2 linked regions of the Macaca fascicularis genome follow. The protein of the gene in region 2 binds, or shares a complex with, the protein of the main gene of each other region. Links are inferred from orthologs where the notes say so. Each region holds a gene or a part of one and is shown on either strand. Other genes may lie near its edges. The genes, in order: POLR2G and GTF2E2.

Region 1 (3,914 bases), on a different chromosome or scaffold from region 2:
GAGACCAGCCTGACCAACATGGAGAAACCTCATCTCTACTAAAAATACAAAAATTAGCTGAGCGTGGTGGCGCATGCCTATAGTCCCAGCTACCTGGGAGGCTGAGGCAGGAGAATCACTTGAACCCAGAGGCGGAGGTTGTAGTGAGCCAAGATTGTGCCACTGCACTCCAGTCTGGCGACAGAGCTAAACTCCATCTTAAAAAAAAAAAAAAAAGGAAAGCACCCACCTTTTAGTCATTGTGAGTCTCTGCACTTCACCTGGCCCACAGTCACTACTCAATCAACACAGGCTTTTATTGTTATGACTATTAATGTTGACTCTTGCCCTCTGAGTTGGGCAGGGAAGATTACCATACAATTTGAAAGTGCAGCACAAGAAGTAAAGTGATGGCTAGGCGTGGTAGCTCACACCTGTAATCCTAGCGCTTTGGGAGGCCGAGGAAGGCAGATTGAGCTCAGGAGTTCGAGATCAGCCTGGGCAACATGGCAAAACCCTATCTCTACTAAAAAAATACAAAAACTTAGCCGGCAATGGTGGCACCTGCCTTTAGTCCCAACTACTTGGGAGGCCGAGGCAAGAGACTCACTGGAACCCAGAAGGCAGAGGTTTCAGTGAGCCAAGATGGCACCACTGCACTCCAGCCTGGGCGACAGAGCAACACTCCGTCTCAAAAAAAAAAAAAGAAGTAAAGTGACTTAGCTGAAGGCACAGTTATGAAGTGGAGCCAGGACCCAACCCAGATCTACTGAGAGACTACCCCAATGCCTCCCCTACGTATGGTCTCACCTTGTTGACCTGAGTTACAACAGCATCCACGACCTCCCCTTTAAAGGGCCGGAAAACAATGGCCTTGTACTTAACTGGATAAAGGACAAAGCCTCGGCCTGGCTGGATCACACCAGCACCAATATTGTCAATGGTGGTGACAGCAATTACAAAGCCATACCTGCAAGGAGGATGAGAAACAGAAAGACATTGTGTGTCCAAGAGCCTCTAGAGACATCTGCAATAAAAGTCACTGAGCTCTTGGGAGTAGTGTCGGGGAGAGCAAAAGGACAAGTAGATAGCACCTCTGCTCCCAGAGAGCTTAATGACCAAGAGAAGACAGAACACAGATCAGTATGGGCTGGGCGCGGTGGCTCAAGCCTGTAATCCCAGCACTTTGGGAGGCCGAGACGGGCGGATCACGACGTCAGGAGATCGAGACCATCCTGGCTAACCCGGTGAAACCCCGTCTCTACTAAAAAATACAAAAAACTAGCCAGGCGAGGTGGCAGGCGCCTGTAGTCCCAGCTACTCGGGAAGCTGAGGCAGGAGAATGGCCTGAACCCGGGAGGCGGAGCTTGCGGTGAGCTGAGATCAGGCCACTGCACTCCAGCCTGGGCCACAGAGCGAGACTCCGTCTCAAAAAAAAAAAAAAAAAAAAAAGAACACAGATCAGTATGTATAAGACCAAATGCTGTTCTGGTAATTTCACAGTAAATGTACAAGAAGGCTGGAGTCCTTGAGGAAACAGATCTCAATCTTCGGGATGCCTGAGAATCATCTTCTTAAAATGCAGATTCTCAGGTCTGCCTCACAGAGTCTTGATTCTGTAGGGAATAAGGAGGCTCAGGAATCTGCATGTTCCTGCAGGTTTTTCTGATGCTGGAGGCCCAAGTACTCCACTGCCCTGGGCTGGGTCCCAGCTCATTAATATCACAGAAGGCCCTCAGTGCAAAGCCCAGAGATGGTCAAGTCCCAGTCTACTTCCTTCCTCCCCCAAACTTTCGATCCACTTTTTCTGGTCATCCATTCAGAAGATATATAGAGGCCCACGGTGTGTGGTCCCTGGACACAGGGGATAAGAGAAAACCAGCAGAATGACAGAGTGAGAGGAGACACAGGAACAATGACTACACTGTGAGCTCCACAAGAGCTGGCCTCATTCTATCTTGTTCCCATTCTACCTTGTTCTGAGCCCAACACGGGTCCTGGCACACACCAAGTGTTTTTAAAATGTCTGAGGAGTAAATGAATGAATGACCAATCTCAGCTGAGGGAAGGAAGTCTTATTGTCCAGCATTGCAGAGGGCGCCCTGGGAACCCAAAGCAGGAAGCAACTGGCTGCCTGAGAGGGTGAGCGGGGTCCCTAGAGTGGGTGGCAGGACTAAATAGGAGTTGCGGAGGGTTTGCAGGTATAGCGACCCGTGTGCGCATCGAACGATCTGGCGGCACGGTGAGCTCGGCACTCACTTCCCTGTGCAGGTCCCCTCCACTTCGGTGAAGAGCTTCTGCTTCACCGTGTTGAGCAAGTTGGGGCCGAAGTAGCGCGGGTGCAGCAGGATTTCGTGCTCTAGGGAGATCTGCGGAGAAAAGAGGGATGGCGACCAGGCCACGCGCTGGGAGCTTATCAGACGACAAGGGGAGCCTCGCGCCGGCGCCTGGCCTTGCTCCTCCTTTCCACCCAGCCCTTGCCGCCACCCTGGGCCCTGCTCACATGGTAGAACATCTTCCCAGAGCATGAAGGCAGGAACAGTCCACACCTCCGACCGCCCCTGGGAATCTACCGGAAACACACTTAGCCGCCGCAACCCCAGTTCCGCGCCTGCTGCGTCGTTGAGAGCGGAACTCCACCTCCTCAGCGAGGGCGGAACTCCACCTGCTCCACGGGTCTGATTGGGCCTTGTAGCCGTGGGCGTGAACCACTAAGCCCCGCCCCTCACCACCGCCCCGCCCCCCCACCGGCCATCAAACCACAACTCTCTTTTTTTTGTTTTGAGACGGATCTGGCTCCGTCTCCCAGGCTGGAGTGCAGTGGCGCGATCTCGGCTCACTGCAAGCTCCGCCTCCCGGGTTCGGGCCATTCTCCTGCCTCAGCCTCCCCAGTAGTTGGGACTACAGGCGCCCACCACCGCGCCCGGCTAATTTTTTGTATTTTTAGTAGTGACGGGGTTTCACCGGGTTAGCCAGGCTGGTCTTGATATCCTGACCTTGTGATCCGCCCTCCTCAGCCTCCCAAAGTGCTGGAATTACAGGCGTGAGTCACAGCGCCCGGCCAATTTTGTGTTTTTAGTAGAGATGGGGTTTCTCCATGTTGGTCAGGCTAGTCTCAAACTCCCAACCTTAGGTGATCCACCCACCTCGGCCTCCAAAAGTGCTGGAATTACAGGCGTGAGCCACTGTGCCCGGCCAGCAACTCTCTGAATTGCTTGAACCTGGGAGGCCACTGCACTCCAGCCTGGGCAACAAAAGCGAAACTCCATCACAAAAAATAATAATAAATAATAGCTACCACTTACTGCTTTCTTCCTAAATGCCAGACACTGTGTTAAGCCCTTTATATAATTATCTCCCTTAATTCTCATAATAATCTACAGAAATTGGTGTAGAAATAACAAAAAATTTACATGAGCCTTAGTCGAAAGGCCAGGAAACTACAGAAAATAATGAAATTTAGGCTGAGCGCAGTGGTTTACGCCTGTAATCCCAGCACTTTGGAAGGCGGAGGCGGGCAGATCATGGGGTCAGGAGATTGAGACCATCCTTGCTAACACGGCGAAACCTCGACTCTACTAAAAATACAAAAAATTAGCCGGGCGTGGTGGCATGTGCCTGTAGTCCCAGCTACTCAGGAGGCTGAGGCAGGAAAATCGCTTGAACCCGGGGGGCGGAGGCTGCGGTGAGCTGAGATCGCGCCACTGCACTCCAGCCTGGCAACAGAGCAACACTAAGAAAGAACGAAAGAAAGAGAGAGAGAGAAAGAAAAAATTTAAAAGCTATTGCAATCCCAAAAAATATTTTAAGCCTCGAGAGAGATATGACTGTGAGTCACATATAGTTTACAACTTCTGTTCTCAGATTATAGATTAATTCACTTTCTTTTTTTTGAGAGGGAGTCTCGCTGTGTCACCCAGGCTGGAGTGCAGGAA
Region 2 (3,814 bases):
ATATTTTCTTCTGCAGCTGCCAGCCTGACCCTGAAAGGAGAGAGAGAAGAAACACAGGAAGAAGAAAAAAGGGAGAATAGAATAGTAAAATGATCAAAGTCATGTTAACTATATGTTGGTAGTCTATGAACTCTCAAGGTTAGCTAAACCAGCAAATTTAAATGTGGATTACCATTGTTTGTACATCACTAATACAATGAGCTACAATTATGCTAATTAATGGTCATGCTACATTATAAAAGTCAAGACCTATATTTTGCGTGGTAAAAAAATAAATGAATTATATGTTAGGAATTTTACATTTGGATTCTAGAATCTCTCTCTGGTCCTAGAAAGTAGTCTTCTTAGTTTTCACTTCGCATTTAAATTCAAAAGCAGTGAACATCTGAATTTTTAAATGCTATTTATTTCCAAATTAGCATGGTCACTGACTGTGCTGGGGTTTCTTCAAATGGTGTGTGTTCATACACAGCATTCACGACTTTTTTCCACATCAAGCCATAAGAGCAGTAATTATGCAACAAAATATCTTCCTATCCCTGCAGTATCTTATGCTTTAAATTTTCTAAAACAAAAACAATTCAATTTACAAGCATACAAATTATAAATCTGGCAATACAAAATAAGCATTAATTAATCTGTAAAAACATAAGTGGAACTGGTACAATGACTTCTTTACAACCTTTACACAGAAGTCTTACCTTTAACATTTTGAAATAGATACATAAAATTAAGTGAAAACCAACAAATCAATCTTACAAATGTGTACATTCAAAAAACAAAGACCCTACAACATTTCTTTTAAGAAAAAGTAAAAAGCATTATCAGATTTCACCATATTAAAACATTCTAGGCAAGGTGCGGTGGCTCACGCCTATAACCCCAGCACTCTGGGAAGTCAAGGTGGGCCGATCACTTGAGGTCAGGAGTTCAACATCAGCCTGGCCAACATGGTGAAACCCCATCGCTACTAAAAACACAAAAATTAGCCTGGCATTGTGGCGCATGCCTGCAATCCCAACTACTCGGTAGGCCAAGTCAGTAGTGAGCTGAGATCACGCCACTGCACTCCAGCCCGAGCAAGACTCTTTTTTTAGGCAAGACTGCCTAAAAAAAAAAAAAAAATTCTAGTTACAGGAAATCTCTCTTGATAATCAACTAAATTCTCACCTCAGTCATTAGCCATTGTTTCTGCTTGAGTCCAATATCTAAATGTTGTGTTTCATCCAAAATTTCATCTAAGGTTAGAGGATGCGTATCTCCTCGCTGATGCCGTGTCTATCAAGTGAAGAAACTGTTATTAGAAGACAGTTTTAAAATGCTAGATGCATTAAATCATAGTTACGTGTACATAAATCTTCAGGAATGAAAAACATGTATTATTCCAGGTAGTATAATTATAGTGACGAAGAGCCACAGACTATGAAATCAGAACGGAGTTGAAACTCATTGCTCTATAAAATAAAAAGATAAACTGACAAAAAATATATGCAACTCATATCACCAAGAGCTAATTCTTCCTAATATTTCAAGAGCTTCAAAAACCTAACAAATAGGCCAGGCATGGTGGCTCACGGCTGTAATCCCAGCACTTTGTGGGGCTGAGGCAGGTGGGATCACTTCACGTCAGGCGTTCGAGACCAGCCTGACCAACATGGTGAAACCCCATGTCTACTAAAAATAAAAAAATCAGCCGTGCATGGTGGTGCATGCTTGTAATCCCAGCTACTTGGGAGGCTGAGACAGGAGAATCGCTTGAACCTGGGAGAAGGAGGCTGCAGAAAGCTGAGATCTGGGAGACAGAGCAAGATCTCAAAAAAAAAAAAAAAAAAAAAACAGAAAATGACCCAAAGACAGAAACGTGCAGATTACAAAAATGACCTTAAACATAGGAAAAGATACTCAACTTTCACCAAACAATCCTATTTCTAGAAACTTATCCTACAGAAATACCAGTACCACATAGAAAAATGACTTACGGGCCGGGCGCAGTGGCTCACACCTGTAATCCCAGCACTTTGAGAGGCCAAGGCAGGCGGATCACGATGTCATGAGATCAAGACCGTCCTGGCTAACACAGTGAAACCCCATCTCTACTAAAAATATAAAAAATTAGCCAGGCATGGTGGTGGGTGCCTGTAGTCCCAGCTACTCGGGAAGCTGAGGCAGGAGAATGGCATGAACTCGGGAGGTGGAGCTTGCAGTGAGCTGAGATCACGCCACTGCACTCCAGCCCGGGTGACAGAGCAAGACTCCAACTCAAATTTAAAAAAAAAAGAAAAAAAAAGAAAAGAAAAGTGACTTATGGTCACTGTAGCATTGTTTATAAAAAGAAAATATTAGAAATAACCCAAGTGTCCATAATCAGAAGATAGATTAACCACAGCACATCCATTCCACTATACTGATGTTCACAAAGTAAATGTAAAATTTCTCTATGTGCTAATTTGAAAAGATGTCCAGGACAAAGTAATAAGTTAAAACACATATGTATCATGCCTATCCAATGAACACACACACACACACACACACACACACACACACACACGTAGATACCAAAAGCTAGAGCAGATGCAAAGGAACAGGAAGAGTGTGCAAAATGGCACAGCCACTGTGGAAGACAGTTCAGCAGTTTCTTACAACACTAAATACACTCTTACCATTTGATGAATCTAGCAATCATGATCCTTGGTATTTACCCAAATGAGCCAAAAAATTATGTACATACAAAAATCCACTAAGGATGCTTATTACAGCTTTATCCATAATTGCCAAAAGCTGGAAGCAACCAAGATGTCCTTCAGTAGCTGAGTGGGTAAATAAACTGTGGTATATCCAGACAATGGAATACTATCCAGAGCTAAAACGAAATGAGCTATCAAGCTATGAAAAAAATATGGAGAAACCTTAAATACGTATTACTAAGGGAAAGAAGCCAATCTGAAAAGGCTACATACTGTATGGCTCCAACTACTGACATTCTGGAAAAGACAAAAACCACGGAGACAATAAAAAGTTCAGTGGCTGCAGGCCAGATGCAGTGGCTCACACCTGTAGTCCAGCACTTTGGGAGGCCGACATGGGAGGATCACAAGGTCAGGAGATTGAGACCATCCTGGCCAACATGGTGAAACCTCATCTCTACTAAAATACAAAAAATTAGCTGGACATGGTGGCACGTGCCTGTAGTCTCAGCTACTCAGGAGACTGACGCAGGGGAACCACTTAAACCCGGGAGGCGGAGGTTGCAGTGAGCCAAGATCAAGCCACTGCATTCCAGCCTGGCAACAGAGCAAGACTCTGTCTCAAAAATAAATAAATAAATAAATAAAAATTTAAAAATTAAAAAAAGTTTAGTGGCTGCCAAGGGTTGCAGGGGAGAGAAGGATGAACAAGCAGAGCCCTGAGAACTATAGTGGTGGACATAGGCCATTACACATTTGTCCAAACCCACAGAAAGAACACCACTAAGAGTGAATGAACTCATGTAAACTATGAACTTAGAGTGGTCATTTGCCAGCATAGGTTCATCAACTGTCACAAATGTACTCTTCTGGTGCAGGATGCTGATAGTGGAGGAAGCCATGGGGGGCAGGGGGATGGGAGGGGAATGGATGAGAATTCTGTATTTTCCACTCAATTTTGCTGTGAACCTAAAACTCCTCTAAAAAATAAAGTATTTTTAAATAAGAAAAAAATATGTATGTTAAAAAATATACACACTATGAAACCTTGTATACAGGGAAGGGCAGAAATAAGTATACATTTGAACTTTGTTTCTGCATAAAGAACCACTGAAAAAGTCACAAGAAAC

What was found.
Region 1: GTF2E2 (region 2) and POLR2G share a complex: the UniProt entries of both Homo sapiens proteins name them as parts of the TBP-based Pol II pre-initiation complex. The link is inferred for Macaca fascicularis from reciprocal best matches to the Homo sapiens genes GTF2E2 and POLR2G.

What each region holds. Positions count from the first base shown.
Region 1 is NC_088388.1:11,292,043-11,295,956, forward strand, and holds the start of POLR2G (DNA-directed RNA polymerase II subunit RPB7), read right to left. Parts: upstream 2,593-3,914; 5' UTR 2,508-2,592; coding exon 2,239-2,507; intron 950-2,238; coding exon 790-949; intron 1-789. UniProt on the Homo sapiens protein: Core component of RNA polymerase II (Pol II), a DNA-dependent RNA polymerase which synthesizes mRNA precursors and many functional non-coding RNAs using the four ribonucleoside triphosphates as substrates.
Region 2 is NC_088382.1:33,818,629-33,822,442, forward strand, and holds part of GTF2E2 (transcription initiation factor IIE subunit beta), read right to left. Parts: intron 1,279-3,814; coding exon 1,171-1,278; intron 1-1,170. UniProt on the Homo sapiens protein: Recruits TFIIH to the initiation complex and stimulates the RNA polymerase II C-terminal domain kinase and DNA-dependent ATPase activities of TFIIH. Both TFIIH and TFIIE are required for promoter clearance by RNA polymerase.